Rhinolophus ferrumequinum: one gene and its partners. The protein of the gene in region 4 interacts with the protein of the main gene of each other region in a pairwise test. Links are inferred from orthologs where the notes say so. Each region holds a gene or a part of one and is shown on either strand. Other genes may lie near its edges. The genes, in order: LRRIQ3, PAK1, TRIM41 and NCK2.

The links.
Region 1: the proteins of NCK2 (region 4) and LRRIQ3 interact in binary tests that used the Homo sapiens proteins (3 or more experiments, as listed by UniProt). The two-hybrid records come from large-scale screens. The link is inferred for Rhinolophus ferrumequinum from reciprocal best matches to the Homo sapiens genes NCK2 and LRRIQ3.
Region 2: the proteins of NCK2 (region 4) and PAK1 interact in binary tests that used the Homo sapiens proteins (3 or more experiments, as listed by UniProt). The link is inferred for Rhinolophus ferrumequinum from reciprocal best matches to the Homo sapiens genes NCK2 and PAK1.
Region 3: the proteins of NCK2 (region 4) and TRIM41 interact in binary tests that used the Homo sapiens proteins (3 or more experiments, as listed by UniProt). The two-hybrid records come from large-scale screens. The link is inferred for Rhinolophus ferrumequinum from reciprocal best matches to the Homo sapiens genes NCK2 and TRIM41.

What each region holds. Positions count from the first base shown.
Region 1 is NC_046292.1:54,865,503-54,872,562, reverse strand, and holds the start of LRRIQ3 (leucine-rich repeat and IQ domain-containing protein 3), read left to right. Parts: upstream 1-4,059; coding exon 4,060-4,308; intron 4,309-5,854; coding exon 5,855-6,178; intron 6,179-7,060.
Region 2 is NC_046294.1:51,809,360-51,817,019, reverse strand, and holds the start of PAK1 (serine/threonine-protein kinase PAK 1), read left to right. Parts: upstream 1-4,646; 5' UTR 4,647-5,143; intron 5,144-6,442; exon of another isoform or gene 6,443-6,554; intron 6,555-7,660. UniProt on the Homo sapiens protein: Protein kinase involved in intracellular signaling pathways downstream of integrins and receptor-type kinases that plays an important role in cytoskeleton dynamics, in cell adhesion, migration, proliferation, apoptosis, mitosis, and in vesicle-mediated transport processes.
Region 3 is NC_046307.1:4,183,884-4,190,763, forward strand, and holds the start of TRIM41 (E3 ubiquitin-protein ligase TRIM41), read left to right. Parts: upstream 1-3,875; 5' UTR 3,876-4,156; coding exon 4,157-4,963; intron 4,964-6,880.
Region 4 is NW_022680445.1:376,556-383,594, forward strand, and holds the start of NCK2 (cytoplasmic protein NCK2), read left to right. Parts: upstream 1-4,035; 5' UTR 4,036-4,158; intron 4,159-5,238; exon of another isoform or gene 5,239-5,347; intron 5,348-7,039. UniProt on the Homo sapiens protein: Adapter protein which associates with tyrosine-phosphorylated growth factor receptors or their cellular substrates. Maintains low levels of EIF2S1 phosphorylation by promoting its dephosphorylation by PP1.

The DNA of each region.
Region 1 (7,060 bases), on a different chromosome or scaffold from region 4:
TAAAAACATACAATGGAGAAAAGACAGCCTCTTCAATAAATAGTGCTGGCAGAATTGGAAAGCCACATGCAAAAGAATGAAACTGGACTGCTATCTGTCACCATGTACCAAAATTAATTCAAAATGGATCAAAGACTTAAGCATAAGACCTGAAACAATAAACTGCATAGAAGAAAACATAGGTACTAAACTTATGGACCTTGGGTTGAAAGATCGTTTTATGAATTTGACTCCAAAGGCAAGGGAAGTAAAAGCTAAAATAACTGAATGGGATTATATGAAACTTAAAAGCTTCTGCAAAGCAAAAGAAACCATCGAAAAATAAAGAGGCAACCAACTGAATGGGAGAAGATTTTTGCAAACAGTGCCTCCGATAAGGGGCTAATATCCAAAATATACAAGGAACTCATGAAACTCAACAACAGAAAAACAAACAACCCAATTGAAAAATGGGCAGAGGACCTGAAGAGACATTTCTCCAAAGAGGACATACGAATGGCAAATAGACATATGAAAAAATGCTTAACATCACTAGTCATCAGAGAAATACAAATAAAACCACAATGAGATATCACTTCACCCCAGTCAGAATGGCTATCATCAACAAGACAAATAGTAACAAGTGTTGGAGAGGCTATGGAGAAAAAGGAACCCTCATACACTGTGGGTGGGAATGCAGACTGGTGCAGCCTCTATGGAAGGCAGTGTGGAGGTTCCTCAAAAAAATTAAGAATAGAATTACCATATGACCCAGCAATCCCTCTCCTATGTGTCTACCCCAAAAAACTGAAAACATTTATCCATAAAGACAAGTGTGCTCCAGTGTTCACTGCAGCTTTATTTACGATGGCCAAGACATGGAAACAACCAAAATGTCCTTCAATAGATGAATGGATAAAGAAGTTGTGGTATATACATGCAATGGAATACTATTCGGTGGTAAGAAAAGGTGAAATAGGACCATTTGTGACAACATGGATAATCTTGAGATTATAATGCTAAGCGAAATAAGTCAGACAGAAAAAGCAGAGAACCATATGATTTCACTGATGTGTGGTATAAAAACCAAAAACAACAAAGGAACAAGACAAACAAATGAGAAACAAAAACTCAGACACAGACAATAGTTTAGTGGTTACCAGAGGGTAAGGGGGATAGGGGGTGGGAGATCAGGGTAAAGGGGATCAAATATATGGTGATGGAAGAACTGACTCTGGGTGGTGAACACACAATGTGATTTATAGATGATGTAATACAGAATTATACACCTGAAATCTATGTAACTTTACTAACAATTGTCACCCCAATAACCTTTAATTAAAAAAAAAATTATTCACATACCATAAAAGTCACCCTTTTCAAGTGTCAATGCAGTGAAAAATGTTTTAAAACAAAAACAATAACTTGGTTGTTTATCAGTACTTTTTCGTGTTACTGTGCTCTGTGATATCAGTTTTAAGGCATTAAGAGTAATCCATTGACTGTGTTGCGATATTTTATTTAGTTAAAACTACTTTTGAACACGTTTAGGATGAATCTTGTTTTTGTTATTATATACAATACTTAATGAATGTCTGTTAGCATTACCTTTTTTCATATCCATCATTTCTTTTATTTTACATTTATACTGTGGTATAACTGACATATTAATTTCAGGTATACAACATAATGATTCAGTAGTTGTATATATTGCAAAATGATCACCACAAAACATCTAGCTAACATTTGTCACCACACATAGTTACAAAATTGTTTTTTCTTGTGAGGAGAACTTTTAAGATCTACTCTTAAAAACTTTCAAATATGCAGAACAGTATTATTAACTATAATCACCATGCTGTACATTACATACCCATGATTTACTTATTTTATATCTGGGTATTTGTACCTTTTGAATCTCTTCATTCATTTTGCCTGCTACCCACCCCTTCCTCTGGTAACCACCAATCTATTTTTTTGTATCTATGAGTTCATTTTTGTTGTGTTTTCTTGTTTGTTTATTTGTTTTTTGATATGTATTTATGTACCAATGAAGTGTGAAATACATAGTCAGCTTCAGCTTTATATGAAGAAATGGGATCTCCGCTGTTCTACGTTGATGTGTGTTGGTCATTCAAAGGTTTTGTTTTGAGTTTATGAGCTAAATAATTTAACTTTTGTTACTGATAATGCATTAAGATTGGATCACTTGTAACAATTGTATCACACTAACGCAATATGTTGATGGGGGAAACTGTGAAATGGGGTACGAGGGAATATATGTGAACTCTGTACTTTCCTCTTAATTTGTCTGTAAATCTAAAACAGTATCTATTGATTAAAGAAAAAAAATCACTTGACTATAAAAAAGGAATAGAAAAAAACACATTTGTTTTATATATGACTGTCACTTTGCAGATTTCTCGCAGAATTGTTTTTGACTTTAAAAATTGGATTCTATAGCTAAAACTTCTGATCACAGCATTGTCCGTCTTGAATCATTTTTTCTTGTGCCTTAGATATGGTCTTTCGTAAGTCCTTGTTATAAACTGGAGTTACCCTACATTTAGGTCACTTTGGAAAAGTAGGTGTTTCAAAGGAGAGCCTGAAGAAAGACTTCTTAAGAGCTTTTCTAAATAAGGAGTCCAAATGATGGATGCATTTAGACATTGTCCTTCATTTCAGTAGCTACAGAGCTTGATGAGTTTGTAAAGGTTTATTCATATCTATTTATTCCATATCTGGTTCTTTATATTTGGAAGATTGGTTTACTAACAGTTTAGGCTAGCCTTTCTCAACGTGTCCATGGATTGCAGGAGTGTCCGAACTGCGGCCCGTGGGCCAATTGCGCCCGCAATCCATTTTTTATTGGCCTGCAGCAAATTCCAAAAATATATTTAGTTTACTTAAATAAACCAGGTGAGGCAATACATACTTCACCTCGAGTGAATGGCCCGGCTGTTTGTGTATTTTACTGCATATGGCCCTTGGTGAAAAACGTTGAAAAAAGTTTGGACACCCCTGAGTCCTAGAGGCATGCAAAATTACAAATTCCTTGGCCAGCAGCCCAGAGACTCTGATGACATAGATATGATATGGGGACCAGGAAATGTGCCTGTTGATTCATTTCTTAGGTGATATTTAGAGTTTGAGGATTATAGTTGTAGGCCTTGGCCAGGACATAAAAAGTACCCAGTCTTTTGAAAGAGTGCAAGGGTTTATCTGGATTTTCACATTAATTCTTATTTCCCCCATATGGTAGAAATAGAAATGGGGAAGATGGTTAATCTTACCAAACGCACTCAGATAGGCCACTGGAGCTTATATATTCTATTTTAAACTATCACTGGGTGACTGGCTTTTATGAAAGCTGAAATTAACCACAGTAAGAGAAATTTCATATATATACGACAAATACTATATAAAATTATGTAAAACAGCTCTGATCCAAAAGTTTTAGACAAACTTAATCAGTCAAGTTTTGAAGCTATTAGAATTCTAGATCTTAATTGCCTAATTGAATTGAACATAAATATAATGTGATTGCAAATTATCTCTTCAAGAAATAAATATAACAGTTGAAGCCCTGTATTCCACCTTCATTTCATTTAGCTGCATTTTTTAGCCTCTCCCACAAAAGATTCCCTTTTCCTGTCTTGGGAATTCATCATTCAATGCATTTCTTTGTTCAGCAGTATTTTTTAAGCAAAATTATTATACAAAGTATGCTAAGGTATAGTTTTCTTTGTGTTTTTTTTTTCAGTTGTCTTGCCAAGAGGCGATGTTTATAGTGCAGCTCTTTCATTGAATTCCATCCTCAAAGTATTCTAGGAAAAAGGAGGTTTTTCATTTACTGATTAGTTTATTGGTGAGGGCAATGATACATTTTGAGATGTAAGTCTTAGTAGTCATTTAAGATGCTTTGGGATAGAGGTTTTATGGGAATTCGTGGTTTTTTTTTAAATAACTTTTCTACCCATTTTTATTCTTACTATCTATTAGCAAACATTTTTATTTACATATAGAATTAGTTTGGGAAGTTGAAAAAGCTTTTGATAGCAGTCTACCATTTTTTTCTAGATGTTTCATGGAACCATCACAAAAGAGCTAACCAGTCATGAAGAATGGAGTCACTATAATGCAAACATTATAGAAGATCAGAAAGATTTTGTTTTTGTGAAATTCAGTGGTCTTCATTTAAAATCTATGGAAAATTTGCAATTTTGTATCTCTCTTAGAGTATGCATCTTCTCAAACAATTTTATTACGGATATTCATGCACTTCAAAATTGTATAAAATTAGTCAAACTTGATCTCCATGGAAATCAGGTAAGCACCAGCCATTTCAGATATTTGCATATAAATTAAATTATATTTAATAAGCATTTATGTTATCTATCCACAATATTTCTCCCATATAATCTTTTATATAATATGAACAAACATTTAAACATAAATAAAAATATGAAATGTATAAATACAACATTTAAAATATAAGCAAACTTTTAAATTAAAAGTGTGTGATTTGTTTTATTTTACTTCTTAAATCCATAGTCTAGATTAGGAATACTTCTTGACTCCTGAGTTCTGTTTTGATGACCTATAACTGACATATAACATCATTTTAATTTCAAGTATATAATGTAATGATGCGATATTTGTGCATATTGTGAAATGAACACCCCAGTATTCTACTTAACATTTGTCACCACATAGTTACAAATCAGTTCTGTAGTTACAGTATTTTCTTTCATTTGGTCAGTTGCCCTTTCATTTCAGTGGTGGTTTTCTTTTGCTATGCAGAAGCTTTTTATTTTTATGTGGTCCCACTTGTTTAGTTTTGCTTTTTATTGCCTTTGCTCTCGGCGTCAGACTCAAAAATAAAACACCGTGACCAATGTTAAGGAGCTCACTGCCTATATTTTCTTCTAGGATTTTTATGGTTGCAGGTCTTACTTTCAAGTCTTTAATCCTTTTTGAGTTAATTTTTGTATATTACAAAAGATAGTTTCATTCTTTGGCCTGGGTCTGTCCAGTTTTCCCAGCATCATTTATTAAAGAGAATGTCCTTTTCCCATTGTATATTCTTGGATCCTTTGTTGTAAATCAATTGATCATATATGTGTGCATTTTTGCTGGGCTCTTTATTTTGTTTCATGGAACTATGTGTCTGTTTTTATGCCAATAACATACTGTTTCATTACTATAGCTTTGTAATATAATTTGAAATCAGGGAGCGTGATGCCTCCAGCTTTGTTCTCTCTCAACATTGCTTTGGCTATTCAGGGTCTTTTGTAGATTTATACAAATTTTAGGATTGTTTCTTCTATTTCTGTAAAACAAAAAAAGCCATAGAAATTTTTCATAGGGGTTGCACTGAACTATAGAATGCTTTGGATAGTATAGGCATTTTAACACTCTCAATTGTCACAATCCATGGTCATGGAATATATTTTCATTTATTTGTGTTTGCTTCAGTTTCTTTAATAATGTCTTGTAGTTTTCAGCGTACAGGTATTTCACCAATGTGTTGCATCACATTGTTCAATTTGATTTTTTAATTCTTTATATAAGGAAAGTATTTTAGAAAACTTCAGAGAGGCAGCCTATTACAAAGGAATTTTTACTGAACAAAGTATATGTTTACTCATTTAATTACACTAATAATGATAGCTTATTCCAGATGTCCAGTGTATTATGTTTTTACACCAGTCATCATTTGGATAATTAGAAATTCTGTTTTTATTTATTGATAAGAAATTTGTCACTTGGGAAAATACTGAATTTTAGAAGATGTTTAATATATTTTAGTTTCCATGCAATTTATAGGAATTTTATATTTGTATTTAAAGTATTATTATTCATAATATTTCAGGTAAAGATTCTACCAGATACCAAATTTTGGAGTGGATTGAAGAACCTAAAACTTCTCTATCTTCATGACAATGGTTTTGCAAAGTTAAAGAATGTATGTATGTTATCTGCCTGTCAAAGCCTCATTGCTCTCACTATGTTTGATTGTCCAGTAAGTCTTATAAAAGGATATAGACATGTTCTCGTCAATAGTATATGGACTCTCAAAGCGCTGGACCATCATGTGATTTCTGATGAAGAAATAATTCAGAACTGGCATCTTCCTGAAAGATTCAAAATGTATAACCAACGGCTTTTCTTTAATTTCTCCCCTGCTTTGAAAAAGGTACATGCTTTCATTAGGGATTGTTTTAAGTAAATTTATAGAAATACATTTTTAGCTTCTCAGGATTATGCCTAAATTATATAAAACTAGTATTTTGCATCAGTTATGTAAGATACCATATAGTAGTGAATACATTAGTAATGTGTTATGTCTGAAATTTTAAAATGTTTGTATGTTTACTGCATGAAAATTGTTGAGCAGAAAAATGTCAAATTGTAAAGAAATATATATATATACACACACACACACACACACACACAGATATATATATATTCATATACATATTTGGTCTCCATTATGTTTTAATAGCTTTAAGGATATATAGCTTACATACTGTAAATTCCCCCATTTTACATGTATGATTCAATTATTTTAGTAAATTAACAGTACTGCATAACCAACTCCAAAATCCAATGTTAGAAATTTCCACCACTCCAAAAGTTTCTCTCATTCCCATTTGCAGTTAATCCCCACTCCCAACCCCAGTCCTAGATAACCATTGATCTGTTTTCTGTCTCTATAAATTTGCATTTCTAAACATTGTATATAAAGGAATTATACAATATGTAGTCTTTTGCATCTGCCTTCTTTCAGTTAGTGTGATGTGTTTGAGGCTCACTCATGTTGTAGCATGAATCAGTAGTTTGTTCTTTATGATTGCTGAGTAATATTTTATTACATGGAATATACTGTATCTTCTTTGTCCATTCACCAATTGATGAACATTTGGATTAATTTCAGTTTTTGCTATTATGAATAATGCTGCTATGAACACCTACTTACATGTCTTTATGAATATACATAAGCTTTTGTTTTTCTTGGGTAGATTCTCAGGAATGCAGTTGCTGGGATGTATGTTAAGTTTATGTTTAACTTGTTAAA
Region 2 (7,660 bases), on a different chromosome or scaffold from region 4:
GTAATCTCTTCCGGGAGGCATTCTGTACACTTCTCTGAGGTTCCCGCAGAAGTGAGACCCTCAGTGACACACTCTACATTGGCTTTCCCTTTCCCTCGTCTCATTACGGTTACCTAGGATCACCTCCCAAATAAACTACCTGCACCCAAGTACGCACATTTATCTCAGGTTCTGCTTTTTGGGAAACCTAAACTTAGGTAGTTGGTACCAGGATGAGATTCTGGAACGGAATCACTCACTGATCAGATGGCAACAAGGATCTATTGTTGATGATAATTGAGCAGTGCTGGCCCCTGATATGCTGTGCTATCATAACGAAGCCTTCAGCTGTGGTAGAACAGGTACAAGTGGAAGGAGTACTTAGACTAGGTAGTAGCTCTAGCACAGAGATTCCAACCTGTTTTGTTTTTTAATAGTGCTCTCTTAAAGAGAAAAATTAAACTTAAAGTATCCCAGGTGGGAAGGCGGAGGGGCAAAGACGTGAAGGTGATCAAAAGGTACAAACTTCCAGTTATAAGATAAATAAGGTCCTGGGGATGTAATGTACAGCATGGTGACTATATAGTTAATACTGTTTTGTATATTTGAAAGTTGAAAAGGAAGTAGATCGTAAAAGTTCTCATCACAAGGAAAAAAACTTGTAACTATATGTGATGATGGATGTTAACTAAACTATGTGGTGATAGATGTAAACTAAACTTTCACAATATATATCTACATACATGTATATCAAATCATGTACACCTAAAGCTAATAGTGTTATAGGTCAATTATCATAATACAAAGATAATACACTTTTAAGAAAATATCCCACAAACCATTGTAATATCTAAGATGTAGTTTTGCCCACCTCAGAACAAGTTTCACTTCCTTGCGGGGAGGTATCACCCCCATTGAGAATTCGCGCTCCAGCACTTGAATGATATGGCGGTAATGTTAATTATAATTTCACGGAATTGACTGGATTTTGTTAACTATTTTAAAAGCCTTGAAGAAAGTGATTTTCAGGCGCAGGTTATCCACCTATCACTTTAGGACATGGGATGAAATCCAGAAGACTTTCACGGAAGATTTCTAAAAAACCTTCTTCTCCCACAGCCGGAGAGCAGATCATGCTGCAAATCAGGCCCAGAATGTAATAGGGCCGAGATCCTTTGACTGTTCCCGTATGCTAAAGTCGGGGTTTCCATAGGTAGGGAGTGGCACCGTGAGGCCTGGGATGGAGACATTTGGGTGGATGCAGCTGAGAACCCGGTACCTTTAGCAAGTAGCTGCTCCCCCTTGTTAGCACAGAGCTGTCACCCTTGACTAGAGACTGTACTCGCTTCTTATTGCTGCAGTAACAAACTGCCACAAGTAAGGTGGCTTAAAACAAGGCATTCATTATTTTTATTTTTCTGTGGTTCAGGCTGCTTTTCGAGGGAGTATGTGGATATGTGCGTGGGGGTGGGGATGGCTTTCATTCCCTACACAAAAGTTAGACCCTCGGATCTATTCCTTCCCTACCTACTCATCCCCATTCCTTCCCTACCTGCTGGGTGTTCAGTGGTCACATCCTCCTATTTCAGTCAGACACACAATCATTACCTCACAGTTCTGTGGTTCGGAAGTCTGAAATGGGTGTCACTGGGCTAAAATCAAGGTGTCCGCAGGGCTCTGTTTCTTTCTGGAGGCTCCAAAAAAGGATCTGTCTTCTTACCTTTTCTAGCTTTTGGAGTGGTTTTTATGCCTTAGCTGGTAGCTCCCTTCCTCTGGCTTCAAAGCGTGGGTGGAGTGCTTCTCACATTCAGTCATAACTCGATCTGACCTCTTCTGTAGTCTAACCTACCTCTTCCTCACTCTTCCGCCTCCCTATTCCACTTTTAAGAATCCTTGTGATTACACTGAATTTACCTGGATAATCCAGAATGACCTCCCCATCTCAAGACCCTGAATTTAATCACACCTGCATAGTCCCTTTTGTCAGGGAAGGTAACATATAGGTTCTGGGGATTATCAGGATGTGAACCTTTTTAGGGAGACATTATTCTGCCTACCACAGAGACCATGCAAAAGCAATTTTGTTTAGGATTAATTTACTGGGTTATGATCTTGGGTTAACTCCTCTGTGCCTCAGTTTCCTCATCAATAAAATGAGGGGGAAACAGTAGTCTATCTCAAAGGCTTATTAGAGGTGTACAGGAGATAGTGCTTAGAACAGTATCTGGCACATGGCAAGTGCTAGGTTAGCATTTATTTAATACGTTTTTATAACATTTTATTGATTCTTACTATGTGTCAGGCACTGTTCTAGATACTGGGGATATGGATAGAATGGATAGAAATATGACGATCTCAAGGAGCTCAGGGGGTCGGATAGACAAATACAGTTACTACACAGTGTGCTACACGCCATGAAAGGCATGGAAGTACTATAGGATTACAGCAGTGTGAAGGCTCAGGGAAACTTAAGAACTATCAGTTGAATGAATAAATGAACATGACATTTGAGCTGGTGTGGATGAACAAGGGGCCACATACTAAACCTGACGAGCTCGGGAGGACTGCACCGCCAGCCTTACAAACTCAGAGACCCAAAGAGACCACATAGGATGATCTGAACATAAAAAATTCCCGACTAAAAGCTAGTTATGGTGGGTAGTCACGTCATTGGCCTGTAGCTTCCTTGACAAAGGTCAATCTTTACCTTAAGTGAGCCTGTCTGTTGTCTTTTTGGCATCTAAAATAACATATCTTTGAAATGTCAGAGTAATCCCCCTTTCCAGACGCCCCAGGGCACACCCACCACACCAAAGCAGGAGACCACAGAACCCCTCATTGTTATCCTGTTCCCCAATACCATCTTTACATGCTGTAAATATTAAGTATTTACTCTCCTGGACCCACCAATGTAAAAGAAGCATCTCTCTCCATTTTACTTTTTATCCAATCCCAGAGATTTCCCCGCTTTGCTTTTTCCTGCCCCCGTAATCTACCACCGATGGATTTCATGTAACCCTCCTTATGTCTCCTCCTTTGATTCTAAAGTATAAAATAAGCTCCAACATTGCTATTCTCTAGAGCATTTTCTCAGTCTGTTGAGATTTTGCTTCCTGGCCATTGTCAGTTCGGCTCAAATAAACTCACAAAAATTCTCTATAGGTTTGGACATTTCTTACGTTCACACTGGGCTTTGTAGAGTGAATAGGTATTGGCCAGTGAGATAAAGAGAGAAGGGCTCAGAGCCATGAAGAAATGTATGTTCAAAGAACATTAAATAGCATTTTGGTGTGGTTGGAACAGATTTATGGTGTGAGATGAAGCTAGACAGGCTGCTGTAAGTCCCAAGGTTGAATGGTACGAAAGGCTTCCAGAGCGTTTAAACAGGAGTGGCCATCATCAGTTTGTGGTTTTAAAAGGCTACTCTGGTCCCCAGTAAGAATGGATTGAATTTGGAGAGACTGAAAGCTGCTCTAGTCGTCTAGGTCATGGTAGTGAGTGAAGAGAAGGGCAAGGCCTTGAGAAATATTTACGATACTCTACAGGATTTGGTGACTAATTTGATAAGGGTCTCGAGAGAGGAAGAATAGGGTTATGTCCAGGTTTCTGGGACTGCTGGATGATGGTCCATTCACCGAGAGCAGGAAGTAACATTAGTTGCACCTTTGGGTGAAATTGGTAAGAGGTATGGTCAACATTCCAAACGGTTTCATGTGTGCTAAATTGTAGTTATTATTATTATTGTAAAACTGAGGCTTGGAGAGATCAAATTTAGGTACACAGGTAGTACTTATTATGGAGAAATTGTGACTTAGAAATGTTAAAGTCCTATCCCTGACATTTGTACAGCTGGGACTTGAAGCAGGACAATCTGATTCCAGACGCTTAGTCACTAAGGTTTCCGTTTTGGACATGTGGAATTTGAGGTACATGAAGTGTAAATGACACTGCCAGGAAGCGTGGGGAAACACAGAATCTGAGCTCAGGGGAAAGGTTTGGGATGAATGTATCCTCCAGGGTCGGAGAAAACCGAGAAAGGAAGCCCATTTTTTAAATCTCAGTACAAGATAGTTCAAACCTCCATTAGCACAGTATTTCTTTATCTCCTCTCCACTCCAAATAGTATAATAAATGTTTGGCTCTGAGGTCATAGGAGATGGGGTGGTTTTCAAATATCTCTCTTGGTAATGATCTAGCACATGCGGTGGTGCTTTGTAACCTGAAGAGGACCACAAGACCAGGGGGTTAGCCATCTTTTGGGACTTTTCCTACACCATTAACGCCCCCAGAAAGCGTCCCAAAATCTTCCAGGAGAAAGGCCATGCCAAAGGAGCCTGCAGCTGTAGACCGCCGGACCTGAGACGAGCCGCTGGTGCAATGACGTCATGCGGCCTCCGGGTGATTCCCCAGTCTCTGGCGTCATGCGCCGATGACGTCATCCCAGAAGCTCGCCTTCCCCTACGCTTGGGTTGGCAGCACTCACGTGGGTCTGCCCTGGCCTCCCCGCCCCCTCCCACCTGCGGGAGGCGGGGCGGGCGGGCTCTGCCAGCGCCGCTGCCTCGCCGCGAAGGGGGCGGGGGCCGGGGCCGGGGCCGGTGGGAGAGGCGGTCCCGCCAGGCCCCGCGGCGTACAATAGAGCGGCTGCGGGCGGGCGTGCGGCTGCAGCTGGAGCCCACGGTGCCAGCAGGCAGTAGACGACCCTCACGGCTTCCCTCGCTCGCTCGCTCCCTCCCCGCCGCCTCCCTCCCTCGCCGGCTCTGCGGTCTTACCCCACGGACGCTTTCCCTTAGACTCTCATCCCCTCTTTCACGGAGCCCCACTCTGCCGAGAGCCCCTCGAAGAACTGTCTTCGCCCCACCTCCTCCCCGGGAGGCTGCCCGCGCCCTCTCACGTCCCCGCCCCCCACCGCACCCCCTTCCCCGCGTCGCCTGGCTCCTTCCCTTCCCCCTTCCCCGTCGCTGACACCCCACCCCCTCGTCCTGAGGGGACTCCCCGGCCCCAGCCCAAGCGGGGTGGGGGAGGCGCCGAGCGCGCCGCGGCGGCGGCGGGAGGGAGAAAGTGCAGCGGCCCGTCGCGCACACTCGCGCGCTCACTCCCGGGCTCGGCCGCTGCCACCCGGGTGGAGGAGGAGGAGGAGCCCAGTCGAGCCGGGCGAGCGCGGAAGGTGAGAGCCGGCCGCCTGCGGGTACCGCTGGCGTCTCAGGCTGCCAGGCTGGGGTGCGGGGTGCGGGGGCCTGGGCCCCATTCATTCGCGAGGCGGGGTGGGGCGGGCGGGGGCGCCAGGTGAGACGAGCGGGGGCGTCGACCCGCGAGGTTGGCCGTTCCTGTCCGAGCAACAAAGGCTCCGTGTGCACTCATCCTCGCGGCTGCGGGTCTCACGCTGGGGGACCCAGGAGACCCCAGGGACCCGGGAGAGGACAGAGGCTGGGGCGAGGCCGGGAGACTCCCCAGATCCCCGTGTGGGAGCGACTCCGTGCTGAACTTAGCGGTCCTCCTGCGCTAACCGTGGCCGGCGCTGGGGAAGCCTAAGCAAAGCGGCGTCCGATTCGTTCTGCTTGGAAAAAGCACCCCTGTCCGGGAGGGAGGAATCACCTGTAGGGTCCCACTTCTTGAAAAATACTATAGGATAGAGCCTGACTTCTGCAGTCCCTCCCCCACCGCGGGAATACTCTAACTTGTGGAGTTAAAAACAGGGAAAGGATAGAGCTATTGTTATGTTCATTATTCCCTTTCAAAAGACATGATTGTTGCAACCTTTACCGCCTTGAATATTTTCTCAGCCAACATTGGTGGGAATGTTTTTGGAAGAATGCTTGAGAAGTTTTGGATGTTGGGAGCAAAGTGCTTGTTGTTTGTGAAACCCTTTGGGTAACTGTCGTACGTTCCCCACCCCCACCCCCGGAACTGTGAAAGGTGGTACTATGGTTATCAATAAAAATTCGAATTCATTAGTCTAGCCTTTAAGAATTGTTCCAGAGAAAAATCTTTAGTTTGCTTACTGTCTTTGGGCGCTCTCAACTTTGTCAGGGGAAAGCAGGAGGCAACAGTACCCAGATGCCTCACTGGTCTTACCTTGTGACTTTACCTACTTCCTGTGTGACCTTGAGCAGGTCACTTCCAGCCTTAAAGTTCCAGGGGTTTGCTTTTATGCCCTAGAAACAGGCAGGTATCAAGCACTTACTCAGCTTTCAAGACTCCACTGAAGATTTCCTCTCTCTTCGCCCCACTGCGAAATCGTTGCTAGCAAACACCCCCAAACTCTAATCAGGCAAATCTGACTTCTCACTGGGGCCATCAGAGGCCTGTAGGAGTTACCACAGCGCTTGTAACTTTTTCTTGTTCCTGTTTGGGAAATCCTCAGGTGCATATGAAATACACCTCATCTCAACTAGAAATTCGACTCAAAAAGGGTTTTGGGAACATGGACCCTGAAACATTCCCTGAAGCTTATTCGTACCCTTACCTGTATGATGAGCTCATGGGTCTGTCTGGTAAATTTGCTGATCCAGTCTTTCATTTACCCAATATTACTGGAGTGTGGAGAGCTGCTGGGTTTCAGGTTTTCTAGGGCTATGGGGATTCAGAGTCTATTAAGACATTCCCTGTCTTCAAAGAGCTCAAAGTCTAGTGGGTGAGGTAGACATGTAAACAATGGAAGCCTGCCCTAATCTCTGGGGACTCCAGCTATCCAGGGAGTAGTGTGCAATAATTGCGGCTGCTAGACCTGTTTTACCAGTCTTTTGGTCCTGGCCAAAGTGAGTCCAAAGGGAAGGTGGTGACCTGCCTCTCATCCATAAGACAGCACTTGGTAAAAGCTTGTTCAATTCAATTTAATACGCATGTACCAAGCATATGTTCTGAGGCCCTGTGCTAAGCTTGGAGGAAGCAGTGCTTTCTGAAAGGAGAGTGGTCTGTATCCAGAGAGATCTCTGTAAATCAAAACCCATCACATCATTTCTCCCTACCTCAACTAGTCCTAAAGATACATTTTCAAACTCTTAAACAGAATAAGAAGTTCTCAGAGATCAGACGGCTGCCTACCTTTGCAGCCTCACTTTTCTATAACTCCCCTGCCATACTCTTTCTCATCCTTGCTTTTGCTTGTTCTGTTCTTTCTGCCTGGAATGCAGGTCTCCTTACTCCCTACCTTTCTGTGGAGAAGTGCTTGTTGGACCTCTGAGAAGCAGTCCCTTAGTCTCTCTTCCTGTGACTTCCATAGGATGAGTTGCTCTTTTATTCTTTGGCTCTTGCACGTACCACTCTTACAGCACTACACTGCAATTATTTGATTTGTGCCTGTCTTTTCCATTAGTTAACCTGTGAATTTCTTGAGGGCAGGATCTGTTTAGTTTTAGTGCCTAGCAAAGTTCTTTGCACTGCATAAGTGTTTGAAATGAATGAATGTCTGAATGAAGAAGCAAGCCCATGAGATAGAGGATAGCCAATCCTTTGGGTTAGAACAATTAGCTCTAAGTGTGAGCTCTGCACCAACCACATCAACATAATCTGGACATTTGTTAGAACTGCAAATGAAAAATTCGGGGTTGGGGCCCTAAAACCTCTGCTTTAACAAGCCCTGCAGGTGATTCTGACACTTGCTAAAGTTTGAAAACTGCCGGGTTAAAAGATCTGCTTTTGATAAAACCAGCTCCTTGCCAGCTCCCTTCCGCTCTTCCTTTTT
Region 3 (6,880 bases), on a different chromosome or scaffold from region 4:
ATTTTCCATTTACTATTTACTTCTTTCTCCTCTCATCTAAAGCAGAAACCTGGGAGCCCCTCTCCTGGTGAGGGTACGAACCATGCATCCAGCTCCTTCACCGGCTGCTGCCTCACCCCTGCACCAGCCACCTTTTGTCTGGACTACATCTGCCCTTCCAGCCCCTCTCCCTGACACAGCCTCCCTTCCCTCACACCTCCTGCTCATCATTTCTGAAGGATCTCTCTAAAATAGAAATGAGAGCGAGTCCCTTTGCTTCTGCGGCCTTTCATTACCACTCTTGATAGAGACCAAAGATCTTACCAGGGTCCCATGCTTTTGCTGAACATCTGAACTGATGACATTGACTCCTCTATGCCAAGAGCAGTGTAGGTCACTTACTCGGAGGGGGATTTCAAACCGAGAGCCTGGCGGGCGAGGCTGCGGTGGCATCTGTGGAGGAGAGAAAAGCAGGAATTGTAGCAAAAAGCTCCCGGGAGCCCTCAGTTTGTTGGGAGAAAGGGAAGAGAAGTCTGTCCACTTTGTTTTCCCTTTAATGAGAAAGCAGCACTTTTTTGGCAATGTTTCCCAGTCACGATGGTGGGGGGAAAAAAACAAACAAACCCTGAAACCACAATTTGCAAACAAATCCACAAGCATTTGTGCAAGACGAAATGTCAAAGTTCACACTCTTCCAACACCAGCTTGTTTAGACCCATATGGTCCAAGATAAGACCTTGACGACAGTAACTCCCCAGAGACACATGAGCCAGGACTGAATTAGCAATTCTGTCTATTTTACAGACTCTGACCAATTTCTCAGAACTCCCTTGCTTCGACACACTTCTGAGACTGAAGGCAATGCTAGCTTAGCAAGGTTAATAAACCAGCTTTATATGATCAGCAGAATTCTCTTAGGGTCTGCTGTGTATGTGGGGAGAATTCTCCAGCTGGAAAATAGAAAATGGGCTGAATTTTTAGGACTAAAGAAACAATCAATAAGAGGAATGAATTTCAACTGAAGTTAAGGGAAAATTTCATGACAAGATCGGTAAACTGAGGATGTTCCTGTTACATCCTTTATGTGTGGGGGGAATGCAAAGGCTGGAATGTGTGGGGCAACATTTTGCAAAAGATCGACGGCTTAAAAATCGAGCATAAAGAAAACACACTGAAGATGAGGGTCGCACACCAAAAGACACTTCTTTCTTTACCCAACATCAGAATCAGGCGGTGGCGGTGAGAGCGCAGAATCCTGACTTCTACCTACACTAAGGTGCTACCATATCAGAGCTACGGTTTGGACGCTCACGAACGTTCAGGATGGATTTGCAGTCCCATCACAGCTTTGGGAAGCTACGTGTCCAGTGCAACTCGTCGGGACACCCGGGAGGGTCATCAGGTAAACAGAAGACGCCTCATCAGTGGGCAGTAGTAGGTGGATTTTAGCAAGTGCAATGGCAGGAATTTGTTCCCCTCATTCCTGCCCTAGGGCTGGGTGCATTCCAACAAGGGGTACTATAGTTCAGCTATTGGCAATCACCTGTCTAGCTCTGACACCTTCCTTAACCAAAGGAAGGAAGAGCACAGGAGATGCCTTTGTATCAAAAGTTCATTTCTCAAAATGACCACCGCCCAACGTGGGGCTCGAACCCACGACCCTGAGATTAAGAGTCTCATGCTCTACCGACTGAGCTAGCCGGGCAACTCTCTGAATCCTTCTATTCTGTCTGAGACAAAGATTCATATACAGTAATGTGGGCACACTTTAAGAAACGACTGACTGTACAAGTATTACGGAGCGCCCGCTGTGCGCCTGCTTTGTCCTACTCACTAGGCCCATCGAGGTGGGAAAGATGGCCGAGAGGAATTTGAGGGGAAGATCAAAAGATTAGCTGCGGTTCAAGACTGCGTTTACATTGCCAATACTTATGAAGGGTCTGCTGTGAGCGCGGCTCTGCTGCCCTCCCGCTTCTCCATCTGATTCCCGGAAACAGATACCGAGACACACACGCCCTTCCCTCCTTGTGAGGACCACTTCACCGGATGGTGGGATGAGGAAGTGACCAAAGAACTGAAAACTAGACCAAAAAGCTTGTTTCCGCCCGGTTTCGAACCGGGGACCTTTCGCGTGTGAGGCGAACGTGATAACCACTACACTACGGAAACCGTTGCTCCTAGAGCTTGACCGACACCACCCTGAATCTACACATAGTTCGGAATGGCGAGGCTGACCGAACCCTGTTGCAGCGGGACTGTGGGCTCCTTGCGCTGGCCCGCTGAACTGTGCCGCACTTCGCCGCAGCTCCTGGAATAGTCTACTATAGTTCACCCACGAAGTTTTGGCACCACACCCCTAGAAAGCACAGGTCCACTTGGAGTTTCCCCACGAGGCAGGGGGCAAATTCTGTGTGCCCAGCCCTGGCATCACACAGCGCCAGCACTCACTGGGGATTCTGAACAAGAATTACGACCCTATAACTTCCCCCGCCAGTTTTTTTTTTTTAAATGAAAGGACATATTTTTAAAAAGCATTAAGTATTATTTCTATCGCACAAGTCTTTACTAATAAACTTCTATCTACATCCCGGATACGATTCTCTCAAGTAAATTTAATACCACAAACAAAGTCTGAGCCCCTACTCTTAGGGAACCCAAGAAAACAGATCTCGAGGTATTTTCTTCGCGGAGCAGGCGTAGTACACAACTCTAGAAGTGTTGAATTATGGCATTTAGAAAGTTTTTTTTTTCCTTTAAGTAACGCTGATTTGGTTCAAAATTCAAAAGATATAGAATATCATATACGAAAAAGTGTCCTTTCTATCACGGACCCTCAGCCTTCCCAGGGACCCTCTGCTCCTACGGTATAGTATTCTGCCGGAGACAGATGACCGCGACGATCATAATGGGTAGCTGAACCTTCTATCTATGTGCTAAGCAACATTCTGATCGCTTTGCATAATATTAACTCTAATTTCACAAAACCTTCTGAGATAGGAACTATTACCCTTATTTTATATGAGTAAACTCAGGATTACAGAAACATCAAATACACTTAACATCCTCTCATTCTCTTTAAACAGATGGTAGTATACTCAACACACTGTTCAGTACCGTGCTTTTTTCACTTAATAACACAGCTTGAAAAGGATTCCTTTTTACAGCTAAAGCGTGTTCCACTGTGAATGTGCATGCAATAACTTGTCAGTATCCCTTTACTGATGTGCAGTTAGGAAAGTTCTTCTAAATAATGAGACACTGACCGGACGGCAGTTCCTGAAATAGGTGTGGAAATGTCAACTACAGTGCGGAGGAAGGGGAGGATCTCCGGTCCCACTCCACCACACTTCTTCAGGCCCCTCCCCCGATCGTCTCCGAGGGACGTTCCGAGTCCTCAAACAACAAAGTCCTCCGCCTAGAAGGGCCGGAAATACTTTACGGTGCTCACCCGGACCCGCCCCTCCGCTTCCGGCATCGGCTGTGGGGAATCCCTGCTGCAGTGGTCCGGGTCCGGGCGGTAGGATGGCGCCGGGCCGATGCGGTCATAGCACCGAGAGCGGACGATCGCAAGGGCTTCCACTGTCTCCCAAAGTTTATCCCCGGTGGTGGGGGACGGGGGGGGCTGGTCCTTCTGTTTCATCTGCGTTCCCCGCTGACCCGCACCACAGAGAAGTGGGCCATTATCATTCTAGCCCTCCTGTCCTGTTCCCGAGTGTGTGCTAGAGCGTCTCCTCGCCGTTTCCTGTCGTTCGTGGGCCCGGGGCGGAAAGGGGGCGTTAGCGCGACCGTGGAGGGAAGGCGGGAGCTTGCGTAATTCGTAGGCGCCGGAAGTGTTGGGAAGGAGGCCGGAAGTAAAGGGGCGGAGCCAGGAAGTGAGGAGGGGCGGGGGTTTATGAGGAGGCCAAGAGAGCGTTGGGGCAGATTTGCACTCAGGGCCACCTGAGGGACTTGGCGGTAGCGCTCAGCTCTGTCCCCTCCCCTGGCAGAGACACGATTGTCGTCTGGGAGTGGGAAACCGTGGAGGGGTGGGTTGTCGGGAGGACATTTCTCAGGCTGCGCTTAAGGCAAGGTGTGAAGAGGCAGGGCTGGGGGTGGGGCCGGGTCGCCAGGGCGTCTGAGGGAAGAGCCCCCGCCCCTACCCCCACCAACCACCTACACTAGCTGACTGGAGACTAAGATGGCTGCCGTTGCCATGGCACCCAACCCTGTGCAGACCCTTCAGGAGGAGGCGGTGTGCGCCATCTGCCTGGATTACTTCACGGACCCCGTGTCCATCGGGTGCGGGCACAACTTCTGCCGAGTGTGTGTAACCCAGTTATGGGGAGGGGAGGATGAGGACAGGGACGAGTTAGACCGGGAGGAGGAGGAGGAGGAGGACGGCGAAGAAGAGGAAGTGGAGGCTGTGGGGGCCGGTGGGGGGTGGGACACCCCCATGAGGGATGAAGACTATGAGGGCGACTTGGAGGAAGAGGTCGAGGAGGAAGAGGAGGATGTATTCTGGACCGGTGGCATGGGCGAATCCAACTGGGACAACATGGACTACGTGTGGGAGGAGGAAGACGAGGAGGAAGACCTGGACTACTACTTGGACATGGAGGAGGACCTGAGGGGGGAGGACGAGGAGGACGAGGAAGAAGTGCTGGAGGAGGACGACGAAGAGGATCTAGACCCCACCACGCCGCTGCCTCCGCCTCCGGCCCCTCGGAGGTGCTTCACCTGCCCCCAGTGCCGGAAGAGCTTTCCCAGGCGGAGCTTCCGCCCCAACCTGCAGCTGGCCAACATGGTTCAGGTGATTCGGCAGATGCACCCAGCCCCTAGTCGGGGGAGCCGTGGGAATGAGCAGGGCGTTTGTCCCAAACACCAAGAAGCCCTGAAGCTCTTCTGCGAGGTGGACGAAGAGGCCATCTGTGTGGTGTGCCGAGAATCCAGGAGCCACAAACAGCACAGCGTGGTGCCACTGGAGGAGGTGGTGCAGGAGTACAAGGTGAGAGAACTAGAAGATGGGAATTTTGTGGGGGAGGAGAGGAAGGAAGAGGAGCTGGGAAAAGGAAATGTCTCCCTCCAAAGAGCATCATGTTCTAGTGAGCTGATTCTCCTTATCTAAGCACTTATTGGCACCAACGTGGGTTAGAGTGAGAAGGATCCTGTACACAGACAAAGCAGACACAGAGAAGACCAGGAAAGATTGGCTTTCTCAAAGGAAATTGTGCAAAGCTGGCAATGCCATGTCACTGGACTGTGTTTCTCCTGGGGGAAAGCCACTGCTGTTTCACACGTCCCAATGTCCCTAAGTGTAGGAGTGCAGGTGACAGGCCCTTAGGGCTTTACCACTGGTCTCATTTTCCTTTTGGTGAATCTTAAGCCTTTGACTGAGACCCTAGAGATGGGAAGAACTTGGGATCTCAAAGAACAAGAAAGGGCTCTGAGGAGCAGGAGCGTAGTAATGACTCCTAGTGTAGACCCAAATGCTCTGCATTTGCCTACTTTTGGGTTCCCTACCTTGTAATGTGGCTTGGTTCACTCCCTGAGGACTTTTGTTGGATCTGTGTCATTCAGATGTGCTGGCCAGAACTTCTGACCTTCCTGGGAATTGAGAAAAAAGGGAGAGACTTTTAAATCATAAGTTCTGGCTCTGCACCTATTCACTTGGGCAAGTCCCTGAATGTCTTTGAACTTTAATTTGTCCATGATTAAAAGTTAGTATTTACTGAAATATACTGTGTACCTCAGGCATTGTACTAAGCACTTTTCATAGACTATCTTATTTAAAAGAAAGAGCAATCCTGTGAGTTTGATATGGTTTCTATTCCCATTTCACAGACCGGGAAGTAGAGAGAGATTTAAGTAATATACACAGGCCGCACACCTACTAGTTATGACACCCCCCTCACACACTGTTATGACACCTCCAATACTGTTAACGACACCACTCTTTAGATGTCTGTTAGTTTGACTTTTTTGACGTGTAACTTCTTGGAGACAGATTCTACTTTGGTTAATATCTTGCCCCCTACTTCTGATCCTGACTTTTTTGGACATAGATAAAGGAGATCTGGCCCTGAGACAGCCAGCTCTAATAGCAATGCTTAGCGAAGTAGTGGGACCAGGAACAGGAGAGAGTAGCTTCCTTGTGGTTGGTGTAGAGCTTTTTTGTTTTGTAACTTCTGTTTTCATACTTGGGTTTTCATACCTTCTCCTGATTCCTACAATAACCTCATTTAGGTATTATCATTACCCCGATTTTAGAGAAACACGCCTAGAGCCTCTGATCTATCGAATAAGTGCTATAGCTAAGACATCTACATCCCCTCGTGACAAATTGACTAGACAATGATTGTCAAACTCCGCTGATTGTCTGAATTACTCATGGAGGTTTTCAAAACTACAGTAGACCCTACCACTAGAGATTCTGAATCAGTGATGGAGAGAATATCTTTAGAAAGCCCAGCCTAGTATGGGACTCAGTGCATTGGAAATATTGCCCTTCATTATTAGGGGAGATTATGAGCTCCTTTTGCCCTTCCCTTTAATATCCTCTCAGTTCCTAGTTAACTGTACCCATTAAACAATGTGCAGTCACTTTGTTAACTCGATCCCAGGGTGGAGTATCCATGGGCATCCCACTCCTTCACGCTCCCCCAACGGGACTCTTTCAAAGAGCTTCTGAAACGGGATTTTAATTTGTGTTAGCCACATCTGTTGAATGCCAGTCCAATCGGAGGTCACATAGACACAAATAATCCGACACTGACTGATCAGCAAATGTAAATACATAAGCTTTATTATATAGAACTAATTTGAGTGATTCTCTTTCTAACTTATAGGCTATTTTACAGTCAGATACTTTATTCCTTTCAGATACGTACATTGTACGTACATTAACTAACACCAGCTTGGCACA
Region 4 (7,039 bases):
TTTCAAAGTCCATTTCTAACGCCACCACTTAAAACCTAAAGCTACTTCTGCTTCTCCGAACATGTTCTGTTTGGTACTTTTCATATTTAGCTTTATATTGTACTCATTTATATACTAGTCTTATCCTTCCTCTGAGATTACAACTCAGGTTATCTTTGTTTCTCCTGAATTGATTCTTATGCTTTACAAATAGAAATATACTCAATATGTTCAATTGAATTGAGGGTTAAGATCGAAGGCCAGGAAACAGCTGATGGGAGTGTTTACCATGTGTTAAACACGCAGTCGAGACATGTTTACATTGTCTCATTTAATCCTCACAACTCTGTACTTCGCTATCCCAGGCCCAGAGAGGTTAAGTGATCCAGATTCGCATACATGTAGGCTGCGGGCCTCTCAAGAATGGCTGACACAGTGCCTTCAGCCTCACCTTGGGCTTCCCGTGAGTCCAAGGAGAGGTGAGGGCGGCTTGAATGGAACTGAAGGAAGAGAGGGGCACAGGGAATCCCTTGCTGTGTCTGCACAGTTGGAGGAGGAAATCAGTGTGACCAAGTGGGGCACATACAGTAGGGGTTGCACAGTGACCCAAGCAAGTAACTTATATTGGGGCAGGGTAAACCAAGAGATGGTTATAGAAGGACTAAGTTTGAGAAGCCCTGGGAGATAAATCTCAGGATTTAACGCGGATGTGACTTGGGGGGAAAGGTTTATATTTTTTGTACTTTCAATACTTCATTATTGGAGACATTTTACTAGTAAAACAAACATGGGCATAGTAAGGGAAGAGGATGCATAAACATACACATTTTCAGATCAAACATCATCTTCAAAGAAATGTCTACCCATGCTGGTCTTGTAGTGGGTTGAATGGTGGCCCCAAAAGATGTGCTCACCTGGAACATGTGAATTCAACCTTATTTGGAAAAAGGGTCTTTGTCGACGTTACAAGGAAGAGTCTGGAGATGAGATCATCCTGGGTTTGAGTGGGCCCTACATCCAATGATAAGTGTCCTTATAGGAAGACAGAAGGGGTGAGAGGACACACAGGGGACCAGGACAGATGAAGACAGAGGCAGAGATTGGAGGGATGTTGCCATGAGCCAAGGAACACCTGGCGCCACCAGAAGCTGAAAAAGGCAAGGAAGGATCCTCCCCTGGAGCCTGCAGAGAGAGTGTGATTTCAGACTCTGGTCTCTAGAACTCCTAGGGAATACATTTCTCTTTTTTAAGCCACCCAGTTGGAGGTAATTTGTTAAAGCAGCCCCAGGTAAAGAACACAGGCCTCCTGGCGCTCAATTCCTCGGCCTTCCTCGGAGCACAAGCTCAAGCCCTGTGCTGTCAGGAAACTTTTGAGAAACTAGGTGGGCAATAGGGAGCCATGGGAAGTTCTTGAACAGTGGAGGGGCAAGATAGAAGCAATTTTTAGGATGACATTGACATCCAGTATAAATGTGGGGGAAGGGAGGAAGTGACTGATAGGAGACCAGGTGGAAGGTAGTGGGTGTAGTGGAAAGAACAGGAGTTCTGGAGTACGTGCAGTTCTAATTCCAGCTCCTTCACTTACCGTTTCAGTTTTTTTCATGTGTAAAGTGAGGATAATACTATTTATTGTGTGTGAGTTAGAGCTGATATATGTATTCAAAACAGATTGTAAGTATTGTTAGTAATCATGTAAAAATTAGGAGGTGACATTGGAGATGGGAAGAAAGATGCAAAGAGATGTTTAAGAATCACCAGGACTCGGAACCATAAGAATTGAGATTGAGAGAGATCCCAAGGTCAGCTAGAGCCCTCTCCTCACTGACCTTGGGGAGTGCTTGGAGAGAGGGACGGAAGAAGAGAATGGAAATGAGGTTTCACCTGGGAGCTGAGAAGCCTGGTGGATTCTTGGCCAAGCCGGAGACCGTGGAAGGAGGAGCTAGTTTGGGAAGGAGATGTGTTTCATTCTGAGTGTGATGAGCTTGAAGAGATGATGAGCCACGCAGACGGGCTGTAGATAAGCTGGCAACAGACCTGGGAGCCGGAGACATCCAGACTGGAAGCATACAAAAAATGATCAACTCTCTTTTAAAAAGAAGGCGTACATCAGAATAAAAACAAAGGGCCAAAGTCTGCTTTGGGGTATTACTGTTAGAGGTTGGGAGGAAAACATGTCTTGTAACTGGACAGAGCTGGGTGGGTCAGAAAGGTAGATAAATGGAAAGATAACCAAGTTTTAGGAAATAGCACAAATGCCCTGTGCTTCAGAAAACTTCATAGGATAAAGATTGAGAAAGGGGCATAGGGGTTTAGATAGAGAATGTCTTTGGTGACTTCACAAAGAATCAGAAAAGGAAGAGGAGTTCAAGACCCATGATTCAATGAAAGTTTACAAAGGAGACAAGTTAAAAACTGGGTCAATGTTGTTATACTTATTTTGAGTAAACTAATTTAAAATTGGGTCAGACCACTGATATCCTTCTGTTTTCCTTATCAGCATGAGAAAGGTTTTCCCAAAAGGATGAACTGAGGCAGCTTCTTTCCCAAGGTCAAACGGAGAAGGAGGTTGTCCCTGTTCCCTGATCTTGGGCCCATCCCTGCTCACAATGCACCTCCTTCTCTCTAGTGGCCAGTGGAATGCGCCCTGCTGCCAGGGAGTGTGCCAGGGACTTACATGGGAGCAAGGCCAGTGTTATCTCCCCATTTAGTAGATTTTAGATAGGTTAAGAAACACTTGTGCAAGGTTCCACAGTTGAAGAAGCAGATAGTCAAACACTAAACGGTGACTTCAAAGTCATACTGGCTCTACTTACCCTCTTCTGGTACTTCCTTTTGGGCACAAGGCAGGGGATGAGGGATTCAAATGATACTGTGATGCCACCTTGGGTAAATTGGTATTGCCTTAATAATAATGAGAAGCCAGGAGCCTAAGAAAGAATCTCATTAGTATGGATCCTGGCTACTCTGCCAGGAAATCAGAGTTATTTGAATAGTAGTGTTTCCTTTTGGGAAGCCATATGGGAAGGAGATTGGGGGAACAGACATCTGGATGCATGTGCCTGTGAAAGGGAACCTTGTGTCTGTTCCCTTCCTCTTGGGTTGAATCTCCCACGTTTGTGTATAGGTAATCCACTACGTGTGGCCAGGTGACCCGACCAGTCCCACTACCTTTTGGAGCCCACATTCCCTCAGCTCCTTACAGGAATCTGACCCATGGGTATGCTTGAGCCAGACACTGGAAGGGAGGCAGCAGAGATTGAGTTTCCTCTCCTCTTCAGAAGTGCTTCCGACACAAATGATGGAGTAAAAAAGTGTCTGGTTGGGAAAGTAAATAGATACAAGGCAAATAAATAAAAATGCCCACAAGCAATTACAGAGAGGAAGTGACATTTTTATGGAAGTCACTTTTCTGATGGACAACAGGACTGCTTTGCGTAGAGAGGCGTGGGAATGCTTCCGGGAGGGGGGCATCGTGATAAGAAAATCAAACAAACAAAAAGAGGATGGAAAGACCACCCACTGGTCATCGGAGGCTGGAAGTTGCTGCCTTTATTTCCTCTCTTGTTCCCTCACCCCACTTCTGCCCCCACCCCCGAGCGAGCCGTTTTAGGAGAAGGGACCCTTTCCTTTCCTCGGCCCCCACCCCGCGGTGCGTCCAAAGGTCTCCTGGTAGCCAGCCGGCCACGCGCCCCGCGCGCTATGCGTCCCCGAGCGCGGTCCTGTCCCGGTGCCGTTCTCAGTCCGGCCGCGCGCGGGCCCACAAGCTGCCCGCGCGTCCCCAGGTGGGTCTGGCTCCCGCCTGTGCGCGGGCGAGGCCGGCCCTTGGGCGGTGTCACCGCGCGGCTGGGAGGAGCGGCGGGAGGAGGGGAGGAGCGCGGAGGGGCGGGCGCCGCGCGCCGGGGGAGGGGTCGTCGCCACCGCCGCCGCCGCCGCCGCCGCCGCCGCCGCGGGGATCGTCAGGCCGGAGCCGCGCGGCCCAGCGAGCGGCGGGCGGCGGGGAGGCTTGGCGGCGGGAGGCTCGCGGGGCCCGGGCCGGCGGGGTCCGGCCGGGCCGGCAGCGTCCGCCGAGCGGCGGGAGGAGGGAGCGGCGCAGACAAAGAGCGGCGCCTGGGCGGGCGCGGCCGCCGCCCCGGGACCCGCGCCGCTGCCCTCCGGCCTCGGCGGGCGGCTGGCGGCAAGGTAAGCGCGGCCGGCGGCCTCGGGGCGGGGGCCGCAAACTTGGGCGGCTCCGCAGAGTTGGAGCGCAGCGGGCTCGCGGGTCAGGGCGCGCCCGGGAAGGGGCCGGGGGACCGGTCCCCTCCGCGCCCCACCGGTGCCCTCGGCCCCGCCGCGGCCTGGCCCGGTGGTCCCGCACTGCCGGCAGCGCCGGACTCCGCACCTTCCCCCTGCCGGCTCCCATCCTCCGGACGCCGGCACTGGGGTGGGGGCGCCAAGGGCGCGGGCGGGGGCAGGGGCCTGGGCGGTGGGTTCCCGGGACTGGAGACCCTCTGGCGCGCGAGGAGCGCCCGGCCTGCGGGCCGGCGACGGGCCCGGAACCGGGGGCCGGCGTGGGACTGTGTGGTGGCCGGGGTGGCCGGGGCGGGAGTCCCGGGGAAGAATAGCCGCTGATTGCCTGGCCTCTGCGCCGGGACGCGGGAGGCGGAGCGCGGCGGGGAGAACTTACTGTGTTTATTGGAACTATTTATGATCCCGCACAAAGCTGCTGTCACATCGCATAAAGGAGGTCCTCGCCTGGGCGAAGGGCGCTTTGTGCCGGGTCTCAGCCTGTGCGTCCTGCCCCAGATTTACAGGACTCTTACAGCCACCTGAAACAAAGTTTCTCACCACGCTCTGCCCTCTCGGTTTATTCAGGGCGATTTAACCACCAAGTGGTTCTGGGAGAATTTCGTGTGTGACTTTTAAGGCATTGACGGTAAACTCCTGTGTGAGCGTTGGTAGCATGTCGTTGTGTGGAGGGGTTTAGCTTGCAAAACGCTTAATTTGTAGACAATAACGATCGCCTTGAAAGGTTGCACGAGATGCCAGGGGTCATTGGCTAATGAACATCAGGCACCTAACTTTAACTAGAACCCACTGTTAACTAGCATTGTAACAGTTTCAGGGACAAAGCGCGAACGTGTGTGGAGTCGGCCCTTGTGGCTTCAGACAGTTCAGGTTGGCAGTTTCCCCCTTTATTTAGCTTTGTTTATTTTGCCAACAGGTTTAAGGCTGAATCTGCCAAGTTTGTGTCTGTCTGCACGATGGGGTGAGCAGGCCCCAGGGCTGGGACCCAGGAGCCTAAACCTTCGCGTAGGCCCACTCCTTCCGTTGACCCAAAAGGAAACTGAAGCCAGAGAGGCCCGTGGGCGTGGCTTACCGGGGCGCACAGGTAGGGGAGGCCTTTCCTGGTCCAGGCGCAGCCTTGGCTTCTCCCCTCTTCTCAGAAGGGATTTTGGTCGGAATGAGAGTAATTCAGGGTGTGTTTCATTGCATGGCATTTGATGTCTGATGTCATTAGCAACAGTGCTTCTCAAGTCTTAAAATAACTGAAAATTGAAATTGACCTGGGCTGCTTTAACTTATCAGAGCAGATGTAAACTTTGCTTCTGAACACTCCCTTAACTCACTTACCTAGTGCTCCTAGGTGAACCGGTAAATTAGTAACAGGATTCAAGCACATGTGGTAACATAAAGAGAATGGCAGTCAGTGGAGATACAGAGTAGAAATGACTTAGCCCAGAGATGGGGCCGCCGGGGATGCTGTTTTAGTGTTTGGAACAGGGATTTCCCGAGAATGGGTGTTAACCATGATAGTGAAGCAGTGACCACAAGGGAAAATCCTACCTTAATATTTCTCTCCTCGAGGTCGGTTAGATGTAGTCTTGTTTGAAGAAAGCAGTCGGATCTTAGTGGTCTTCTGGCTGCATCTCTTGAGGCTGAAATTAAGAGCTTCAAACTGTGGTAAGCTTCTGGAGGAGCTAGACTCAGCTTCCTCTCCTGGAGGCTTCACCTGGACTCTGAGCTTCTCAGGTTGGGCATAAACACTTACCGGGACTGATCATGGAACAAAGAGAAAATTGAGTGTGGCAAATTGCCATCAGAAGAATTGACTACTCTATCACCCCCTGTGCCCACTTGTGGAGAAACTGGCCCTTTTTAAATGGGCGGAGCTGGTTAAAGGTGCATTTCAAGTAGCTGTGCCCAGTTTTCAGGCTTTGAGTTCTGCTTTATTACGTGCAACATGCTTAAAGCCTCTTTATCTCTGATCTCTTGGAGCCTGCCACATTTCCAACCTCTGTCATTTGCGTTGGGGGGGTTATGGAGGTTTTGCTGCAAGCAGCAGGTCTTATGTACACAGTATTTGAGAAATGCCCTGTCATCCACATTAAATATACCAGAAGACTTCCTTGTATGTACACAAACTGGATAACCTTTTAAAGTACCCTAAAGACTCCCCGATTGCCCAAATGGCCTGAATCCTTTACTTGATCATTTGCATTGCTTAATTTGCCCTGGCAAGATGAGGCTGTGTCGCTTTCTGGGACACACACGCTTCTAACTGCCCCAACTGGCTTGCAGCATACGCTTGGGGAGAGAGGGCTTGTGGACACAATTCTCTGACTTTAAAAATAAGGCTGACTGACTGAAAAGCTGAAGATTGCTTGCTTGCTGGAACTGCACGGGAGGGCAGTGGACAATGTTTGGGAAAACTAGTAAGCTAACAATTTTTTTTTTTTTTTTTTTTCATAAATTAACTGGAAACTCCCCACAACTCACCCCAGAGGCTTGGGAAATTAGTTTTCCCATCTGGAGGGACTGCAGATGGGGTTTCCAAATTGTTTCCTTTACTAAAATGAGTGATGGAAACCCTTCATGGCATGTTTTCAAAGGGCCTCAGCTAAAAATGATACCATGTCGTGTGTTGTTAAATGCTCGAACTAAGGCGACTTAGAAGGAGGTCAACACATCCTTTTAATGGGTTATCACAAGTATGCAGTTAAAGTAAAAATAGTTTTTCTATTTCTTTAGGCCACTATGGTAACACAATTTAAAAAAATTAGATGTTTTTTTCTGCATTTCT